Linked DNA regions of Caenorhabditis elegans. The protein of the gene in region 1 purifies or fractionates together with the protein of each later gene. This does not show direct contact. Each region holds a gene or a part of one and is shown on either strand. Other genes may lie near its edges. The genes, in order: atg-13 and cht-1.

Region 1 (4,747 bases):
TGCGTTCTAGGGGAGCTTCTAATCCTCTATCACCTGACATTAATCACTTGCTCATTCTTCTCTCGTTCTCTGTTTCTCTTTCTTCTTCGTTGAAGTCTCTGTTGAATAATTGTCAAACCCATAACACATTTTATTTTTATATTCCAAAAAAATATTTTTAGAATGAAGATCTTATCGTTGATTCTTGTAATTTTGGTGCTTGTGGTGTCAACAGAATCCGCCGCTTCCAACAATATTTTCTCATCAATCTTTTCTTTTGGCAAGAAAAAACCAACAAGTACTCCAACACCTAGTTATTCAAAAGGTTTTTTTTTAGTTCTTTGTTCAAATGATCTTTGGATTTACATTCCAGCTTCCGCTTCCACGAGCCGGTGTGGAGTACAAGCATCACAATGTTCTGCTTATGAATGTTGTAACTTTGATCAGACATGTCTTCGAAACCGCTGCTTCCCAAGACTATCGGTAAACAAGTTCAAAGATAATTAAAAACTTATTGTATACGTTTTTCAAACTGCACAGAGAAACCCATAAACTTTCAAAAGTTTCAGAACTGTCCAGTTACTCGGGACCAATGTGGAAATGCATGTTGCAAGACTTCTGAGCAATGTCGCAATGGAAAGTGTTCCCGATAATTTATATAACTATACATTTATGAATATTCAAAAAACAATATGTGCACAAAAAATTGTGAAACGAGTGTAAACGTGTGAAAAGTGTACATGCGATGTATACAATATGGGAGATTGTAAATTTTCAATAAAAAAGTCACTCATCGGAGAACGAATTGACGTGTTTCAGGAAATTGTTGAAGTTGGCAGTTTGAGAACTTATTTTTTCGAGCTGAAATTTGATTGAAATTTGAATTTGTTAATTAGTTATAGTTTTTGGTTTAAATGCCATTAGCTATTTATTTCCAAACTCACCTCTGTTTTCAAGTCCATGTTACAAATATCAATATCACCGGATTCTGTCATATCGGGAGCAGTTTTCAGCTGCTTCAGATAGTCTCCCAGCTCATTACCAAGACTTGGCGCACCACCGAAATCTGATAGCTGATTAAACTGAAATGAAATAATTAACGACTCGTTGATTAACTAAGGCTTACATGAACAAATGAATCTTCACTCAGCTCCATTGAATCAAGTGGCAACTCTTCATCTTCATCTTCTTCAAATACAACTTCGTCGATTTTAGCGGCACGGAAGCTCTCAGCAACCTTTTCTATCGTTGGCTCTTTGTCTTCTGGAGTTGATTTTGGAGAATCTAGATTTAATAATAAATATTTGAATTATTTTTATATTCTTACTGAGACAAGTAGAAGAAGAGTTTTTCTTGGTTCCATTTGCTGGATTGTATGCCGACTGTAGTAGATTCACGAATGGGAATGAATGATTTCGTAGATCTGCTAGAGATGGTTTGTGATCTTCTTCATAAGAATTTTGAACATCTGAATGTCGAGAGTCTTCACTTGATGTTGATTGTCCAAGAATAAATCTAGGAGCAGCTTCTCGGGAGGTCTTAAATTTTTTAATTCGTTTGACTTTGCATAAAATTTTTTTGAAAACTTACAGAACTTCCAGCACTTGTAGCAGATTCAACACTTCCACTTGCTTTTCTTTTTTTAGCATCAGCAATTGGAACACATTCTGAGACAGTTCTTGTTTGAATATTTTCATCTACAACTGTCTTTTCCCCGTCATCAATTTCCTCTTCTACATCTTCAACAGGTCTGAAATTTAATAATTATTTAAAATCGGAAATTATTCTATTTAATCCCTTACGTTACTGGAGCAATCTCTGGTTCCTCGAAATGCATTGATGTTCGGTAATGTAGGTCAAGACTGATATTTCCAAATTTTGATACAAGTTCTCCAATTTTTCTAGTTTTCTTTCCTTTTCCCATATCAGATGAAATATCATTTTCAAAAACTCTATACATAATTACAAAAGTCTCCAAGTGCTGCTTTTTCACATACAATCGATGCATTGGAGTCATTCTGGCTGATACAATTGCTGATCGAAGCAATGTGCTCATATCATGATAAAGTTCATTTCTTGAACAATCATCAGTTCCTTCTGATGAGCTAAGAATCCACGCTTCAAGTGGTAATAGTTGTCCACTGGGTGTATAGAGTAGAAATTCGAGAGTAAGAGTTCCGACAGGTGGATAACTTTTGATGTTGGATTTAAGATAAGCTGAGATTTCACCGAGTTCGTCAATTCGCATATTGAACCAGTCGACTGCGTTTTCCGAGTACGGTACACATTTTGATTCAATTTCATCGCCGAGGCGAGACTGAAAATTTATGGAATATTAGGAAATTTTGATTTGTTTTTATTGTTTGGTAACTATTGTATGCGAAATTTTTATTTTTTGAGCCACAAATACTGTACCCGGTCTCGACAAATTTTTTGTTAAATGCGAGAATGTTCGCGCCTTGAAAGAGTACTGTAGTTTCCAACTTTGATCGGTGCTGCGGAATTTATGTCTTTACTTCAAAAGATTTCATTGATTTTTCAGAAATTTCACATGTTTCATTTTAGTTTTTTTTTTCGATAAATTAATAGATTTTCATACGAAAACTATGAAAAATCGATGAATATTTAAGCTCAACGAAATTTTGAAACTACAGTACCCATTAAAGTCTCAGACCTGTTTGAATTTTACTTAATTTTACTAAATTATTTTTTACATACAATGGCGCCAATAAATTCGGATTTTCAATAAAACAAATGAGTTTCGGAGCATTAATACTCTTAATTAAAAAAAAAATTATAAATACCTGAATTATAGATTGAACCATTCGCACCGAGAAGAATTTGAGCCATTTGTTGTACGTGTCGTACTCATTTACCATGTTTAAATAATATATTATTGATCTGAAAAACAAGACGATGGTAGTAGTCACATGAGCGTAAAAGAGACGAGATGAGTGATACAATAAACTGGAGAGGTGGTAGAGAGAAAGTGAGATGTTGAAGAATTTGGTGAAAATAGAATGGTTGAAGAGTGTTTTAAATGGAGTTAGAAGAAAAAATCCTAGTTAATACTTTTGAAAACTGAAATAATCCTGCATTGAGAGCGAGTTTTTGAAATTGCTGCTCTACTGGAGAGTTCAAGGATAAAAGGTGCAAGAACGGCAGTACATATTGAGCAGCTGGCTATTTTAACAATGTTTGATAGCAATTTTTAAAAGTGTAAAGATGCTCAATGTGCACAATTGTCATCGGTTCTTGAATCAATAACTGTGGAGTGCTGGGTGCGCCTGCTTCACGTGATGGCCGAGAACTCGAGGACTAGGATTTTTGGGTGCAATACACAGATGTGGCCTCACTGGGAATGGCTCGGAAAAATTATGTTCACAATTTGTTTTGAAGGTAGTTTATTTTAAAGAATAGGTAAAACTGTGGAAACGAAAAACTGCTAATTTTGAATCCATAATATGAATAAAGTTTGAAATAAATCACTTTATTAATAATATTGTACACTAGTTAATATGTTTGGCACAGATATGGACCGGACTATAGTATATGTTTGACTAAATCACAATTAAGTGTTACGAGTTTTGGCAAGTAAATTAAATCCTCCGGTACCGAGGTTAAAATATCGATTTTTTGTACAAAAAATACATATGAAATCTACCGTATTTCTTCTATTAATATGGCTGCAATACTATTTCTCGATGGTCTTCCCGCTTGCAATACTAATAGGGAGTGCAAGACTATTAGGGAGTGCAATACTAATTTTCAGAACATTTTTCTGACTTTGAGCTTACTAGTTTTTTTTCTGAAAAAGCTCGAATCTTATGTGAAAATTCAGAAAACTTGATTTTAATTGTAACATATAAGTTCAAAAACGTTTAATCTCGTAGAACTGTTGTGAAAAACTGTTGCAAAATAAGCAATAAGTGTTATAAAAATCTTTAAATTACTAAAGAGGGTTTGCACCAAAGAAGTAAACGCAAGACTATTAGGGAGTGTAACACTAATAGGGAGTACCATACTAATTTTCGGAAGGTCTCCGAGGGGAAATACTAATAGTGAGTGCAAGTCTAATAGGGAGGCCATATTAATAGAAGATATACGGTATAATATATTATAATACAGCTATGGTTGTTCAACTATTTGAAAGACTTTTGACAATCCAACAAGACAATGAAGATGACAAGAAAAATATCCAAGACGGTAGTTTCCAGCAGGAATATTATTGAATTCACAAGCCAGAAATTTGCTACCTTCAATTACTTGCTCAAAACAAGTGGCAGCATAGATCCAATTTGTGGCAGTGGTACAGTCGTTGATGCTGGACTGAAATGAATCAATAATTTTATAAAAATAATGGGTGTAGTGTCCAATCAATAAAACCAATACGCGAGTTAACCACAAAATTTTGTGATTTTCGTGCCAAGAATATGTTACCCGGTCTCGGCACGACAAATCTTTGTTGAATACCAAGAGGCGAGCGCCTTTAAAGAGAACTGTAACTTCGAATTTTCGCTGTTGGGGAATTTTCTTCCTTTAATACGTTTTTTAAAATAGTTTTTACACGATTTTTAAAAAAAATTAACAAATATACTGTTATATTTAAAAAAAAAACAATAAAAAATCAATGAAAATTCCGCATCAGCAAAAATTCTGCTCATATCTCTTTGCATTTAACAAATTTGCCGCGTCGAGACCAGATATCATATTTTCGCCACGAAAATTCCAAAATATTTTCTGTCTGACTATTAATAATAATGTATTA
Region 2 (4,966 bases), on another chromosome or scaffold:
TTTGCAGCACTGGTTTTCGATTCCATTTTCTGAAAATTTACGGCATGATTAAAAATGAGAATACAAAAATTATTGATCGCTTCTTTCAAAAATCTGGCTGTGGTCGCATAAAATTAGTACAAAAAACTAAGGAAAGAAGGGAAAGGAAAGGACACCCATTGTGGGATGTGCAAATGACTCAGTCGTCCACGAGAAAAATTGTGTTCGTCGAGACCCACCGCAGAGGGCGAAAAGTAAAAGGAGCATTTTAAAATGCGAAAATGGATGAGTCGTACTCTCGATGCCAAAAAGATTTGTGGATATTAGCTGAAACACGAAATAGCTAAATACGATCCGATGGAATATCTTCTGAGCAATAGTGATGAGTCAACGAAATTAATTTGATAAGCAAACACGTTATTAATAAAATTTCAAAATCCTGTTCTATTTGTCATCATCATTTAAGTAACGAAAAATGAAATCTGACTAATCAGTATAAAAGTGAGACAAAATAGTGTTTTTAATAAATAGATTGTATTTTCTGATTCTGAAATTGTTCAAAGGTGGCTTCTTGTCAGTAAGAAGTTTGTTTAATTATCACAGTTCCACATGCCCAAATATCATAATTTAATACTCAATTTTTTTTGAAGATTTTTTTTAAATTTTCAGTCTTACATAGAAGTTTTTGAATATTGCCAGAGAAGTTGAAGCATTGCATCAGGCTTCAGCTTTAATGTTCAAATATGTGTATCTAAAGCATAGGTAATTAGAATAGAAAATAAAAGAAATTCGTTTTTTTTTTGGCGGGCTTTCAAAACGAGTTGTCCGCGTCACTGTCGAAATTGGTGTATACTAGCGATATTCATAAATTTGTGTTTCCGAAAAAGTGAATAATTCCAGCAATATTCTCGTGCCCGTAGAATCGAATTTTTTTCGAGGTTTCTAATTCCAAAACATTTTCCTTTATAAACTGTTAAAACTTATGTGCATGTTAGGTGATCGTTTTTTGTTAGTACATATTAAGCATGATTTTGATTTGAAAAAATTCGGTTGATCGAGAGCTCCAAAAACAACAGTGCTGTAAGCAATGCACTTTTAACATGCTTTAAACAATATTTTTCTATTCGTCGTCACTTCCGTTTTAAACACGGTTAAACTTTCCGGCATACTTGTGTGGGTGTTTGTCATGGGACGCTCTTAAGTATTGAAAACACTTTATCTGTTATCAGACATTGTACGTGAAACAATATAAACTTTTGTTATTTTAGAAATAATATATAAGCTCTCTCTCAAAAATTTAAACATGAAAGCAATATTAATAATCAATGTTAAAGTGCTCGTCTGACCGTATTTCCCAACTGTTTTGTAGTCTGATCTTTCAATCTTACTGAGCAACAAGATTACCATCTTTACGACTGTCTCTTCAATCAATGTTGGTAGACTGCTCATTCATTAACACCCTTCTTATTAGAGAGCAAAGATCAAATCCTGCTCGGCTATTGTTCATGATGTCATAAAGGGTCTGGGCCGCATTAATGGGCCGAGATTGACCTAGATAAGGTGCTCCGCCCACCTTCCCATGTAGAGACCATTCTATGTAGCCACAATCATTCAGACATTTTTGTTGGCTGCCTGACGGACCAACTCAATTATTCTACCTTTTGGCCTGGTACAGGCCTGATTATTGTCTACGTGTTTTATTCAAATTTGTTTTTTTCTTGGATACTTGGATTGACTCAAATCGTCATAATTTTATTGTTTGTGCGGTGGTTTTTGCGGAAAGTGGAGTCCCCCTCACTCACCCATCCTCATTTCTTTTCGCCTTGAGCGATAATCGTTGGAAAATGAGCACACTGTACGAAGTGCATTGTGAGCCGAGGTGCTCAAACAACCGCCACCAGTCCGGCTACCTATGTACATTTTGGTCATTTTTGTTCCTTTAAATTGCTTGTTTTTCCGCAATAGCCCTTTCACCCATTCTTCTCATTCGAAAATTTGGTGAACGTATTTCTGAATAAATATATTTTTGTATTTTTTCAGCATGCTATTAGGCAAATTCCTTCTCGTGGCAAGTTTCATATTGCCAATTGCATACACATGGACGGGTGCTACAATTAGAAACCGTAAGTTATCTCGGCAATTTTTTCTAATGACTGTTCAGCTGAAACCATTGAATTTCTGATACAGACTGACACAAAAAGTCTAGTATTGACTTTTCAAATGGTCACTCAGTGTTTGCCAATATAGTTCAAGAGCACGTAAACAAAACCCCGCTGTTCTCACACGTTCTCTTCAGATCCGGCGGATGTTGTCGCTGCACGAAACAAAATCACTTCACGATCAGTGGCGAGATCCGAGCCAACCAATAGCTACATCAGACCGTGCTACTTCACCAACTGGGCTCAATACAGGTTTGAAATTTAATCGTATTTGTGAATAGGGGGACGATAATCGAAAGATGATAGTATGCAGTGAGGAATGAATAGTGGGAAAAAGTTCTGGTTTTCTGGTCTGCAAGTTAGTTTTTTTTTCAATTATTTTTTCAGACAAGGACGAGCCAAGTTTGTGCCAGAGGATTACACTCCAGGACTCTGCACGCATATTCTCTTTGCATTCGGATGGATGAACGCTGACTACACCGTTCGAGCATATGATCCAGCAGACTTGCCAAATGATTGGGCTGGAGAAGGAATGTACAGAAGAGTTAACAAGCTGAAAGTCACTGACACCCAACTCAAGACCCTTCTCTCGTTCGGAGGATGGAGTTTTGGAACTGCACTTTTCCAAGGAATGGCTGCCAGTTCTGCGTCTAGAAAAGTTTTTATCGACTCTGCTATCACTTTCGTTCGCACTTGGGGATTCGATGGTATTGATATCGACTGGGAGTACCCTTCTGGAGCAACTGACATGGCTAACTACGTTGCCCTCGTGAAGGAGTTGAAGGCTGCTTGTGAGTCGGAAGCCGGAAGCACTGGAAAGGATCGTCTTCTTGTAACCGCCGCTGTCGCCGCAGGACCAGCCACAATCGATGCTGGGTATGATATTCCAAACTTGGCACCGAACTTTGACTTTATTCTTCTCATGAGTTACGATTTCTTCGGAGCATGGGCTTCTCTTGTTGGATTCAACTCTCCACTCTATGCTACGACCGAGCTCCCAGCTGAATGGAATGGATGGAACGTTGATTCATCTGCTAGATACTGGAACCAGAAGGGTATGCCAAAAGAGAAGATCATCGTCGGAATGCCAACATATGGACGAGGATGGACTTTGAACAATGCCAGTGCAATTAATCCAGGAACAAGCGGATCCCCAGCTAAGATCACTCAATATGTTCAAGAAGCCGGAGTTGGAGCCTACTTCGAGTTCTGCGAGATGCTCGCCAATGGAGCCACCAGATATTGGGATAGCCAGTCTCAAGTTCCATATCTCGTACAAGGAAATCAATGGTGGTCGTACGATGATGAAGAGTCGTTTGCCAACAAGATGGCATACGTTAAGAGAGAAGGTTACGGAGGAGCTTTTGTATGGACTCTTGATTTTGACGATTTCAATGCTGGATGCAGCAACTCTAATGGTCAGCTTTACCCACTCATCAGTGTCATTGCTAAGGAGCTTGGAGGAGTTATCATTCCAAAGAAAGGTGGCGTCACAACTGCTCCAACCACTGTAGCAACTACGGTCACAACTGGACGCCCTCCAATGACTTCAGCAGTAACCACAACTACTGCCGCTACCACAACTACAACACGTGCAGCTACTACAACCACAGCTTCCAATACAAATGTCTGTTCTGGAAAATCGGATGGATTTTATCCAAACAGCAACAACTGCGGACTTTTCGTTCTTTGTCTGAGCTGTAAGTTTTTAAAAATTATATTATTTAGAATGTTTATGAACAATTTTCAATTTCAGCAAAATCATACAGCATGTCGTGCCCATCAGGACTTCAATACTCTGCTTCCCTGAAATACTGTACCACTTCCACTGCTTCTGGATGTTCTGTGACCACTACTAGAGCTCCAACTACGACAACAAAATCTGCGCCAACTGTCACCACAACTACAAGAGCACCAACAACCACTACACCGGCTTTCAAGTGTACCAAGGATGGATTCTTCGGAGTTCCGAGTGATTGCCTCAAGTTTATCCGCTGTGTGAATGGTATTTCATACAACTTTGAGTGCCCCAACGGTTTGAGCTTCCACGCTGACACAATGATGTGTGATCGTCCAGATCCATCAAAATGTGCAAAATAAGTGTATTAATTTCCAACATCTGTTTAATTTCATTCTTGCATTCCTTATTTCCTATAACTTCGTTATTCCCACGGGCCACCTGTCATTTGTTGCTTGTAGCAACTCAAAAAGTAAACAATTTATGTTATTCATTTAATGTATATTCAACTTTAAAACGTATTTATTGTATCAATAAACGTATATAACAAAACACTTTTTTATTTCATGGACAATCTACAAACAAAGCGACCCCTAATTTATAACTACATGCATAAGAACCCATTTTTCTTGAGAGACCAACTTGTTTCGACGATTGCCAACTGGTATCAATTTTGAAAAGAGAGACCCAGTTCACTTTCCAATGTTTTTGTAAATGTTCACTCCAAAATCGAGAAGAAATATGCAGCACGCCAACTGCACCACAAAACTGATAAAGTTCATCAGCGCCGGTTTTCCACTGAGATATGCGAACGTTTTCGAGGCTTTGTGTTTTAAGTATAAGAATACATTTGTTCCAGGAAACTCTGGTGAGAAGTGACGATTGATTTCCTGAAATTAAAATAGGTATTTAAAATATAAATGTTCTAATTATTATTTGTTACCTGTGGAGTTTTTCCTGCAGTTTCGGGAAGCCATTTGTAAGTAACACCTACATAAACTGTGTTCATTGCTACAAATGGTATTAGTACATTTGATATTCCATGAGTGTTCAAAGCAGTTAGTAGGCAGTTTGTCAAAACCCCTCCAAA

What was found.
Region 2: the proteins of atg-13 (region 1) and cht-1 fractionate together in Caenorhabditis elegans (co-fractionation; one large-scale study listed by BioGRID). This does not show direct contact.

Annotation. Positions count from the first base shown.
Region 1 is NC_003281.10:8,155,311-8,160,057, forward strand, and holds atg-13 (Autophagy-related protein 13 homolog), read right to left. Parts: upstream 2,881-4,747; 5' UTR 2,859-2,880; coding exon 2,784-2,858; intron 2,297-2,783; coding exon 1,782-2,296; intron 1,730-1,781; coding exon 1,570-1,729; intron 1,518-1,569; coding exon 1,307-1,517; intron 1,264-1,306; coding exon 1,106-1,263; intron 1,062-1,105; coding exon 924-1,061; intron 841-923; coding exon 766-840; 3' UTR 637-765; downstream 1-636. Other genes in the region: D2007.1 (uncharacterized protein), read left to right, coding at 163-304, 353-462, 549-632; inpp-5K (Inositol polyphosphate 5-phosphatase), read right to left, coding at 4,108-4,308. UniProt on the Caenorhabditis elegans protein: Component of the unc-51/atg-13 complex required for autophagosome formation. Required for the degradation of germ cell specific P-granule components such as sepa-1 by autophagy in somatic cells.
Region 2 is NC_003284.9:3,397,071-3,402,036, reverse strand, and holds cht-1 (putative endochitinase), read left to right. Parts: upstream 1-2,019; 5' UTR 2,020-2,020; coding exon 2,021-2,102; intron 2,103-2,275; coding exon 2,276-2,390; intron 2,391-2,525; coding exon 2,526-3,838; intron 3,839-3,894; coding exon 3,895-4,238; 3' UTR 4,239-4,424; downstream 4,425-4,966. Other genes in the region: C04F6.9 (Gag-pol polyprotein), read right to left, coding at 1-26; slcf-2 (Major facilitator superfamily (MFS) profile domain-containing protein), read right to left, coding at 4,569-4,766, 4,820-4,966.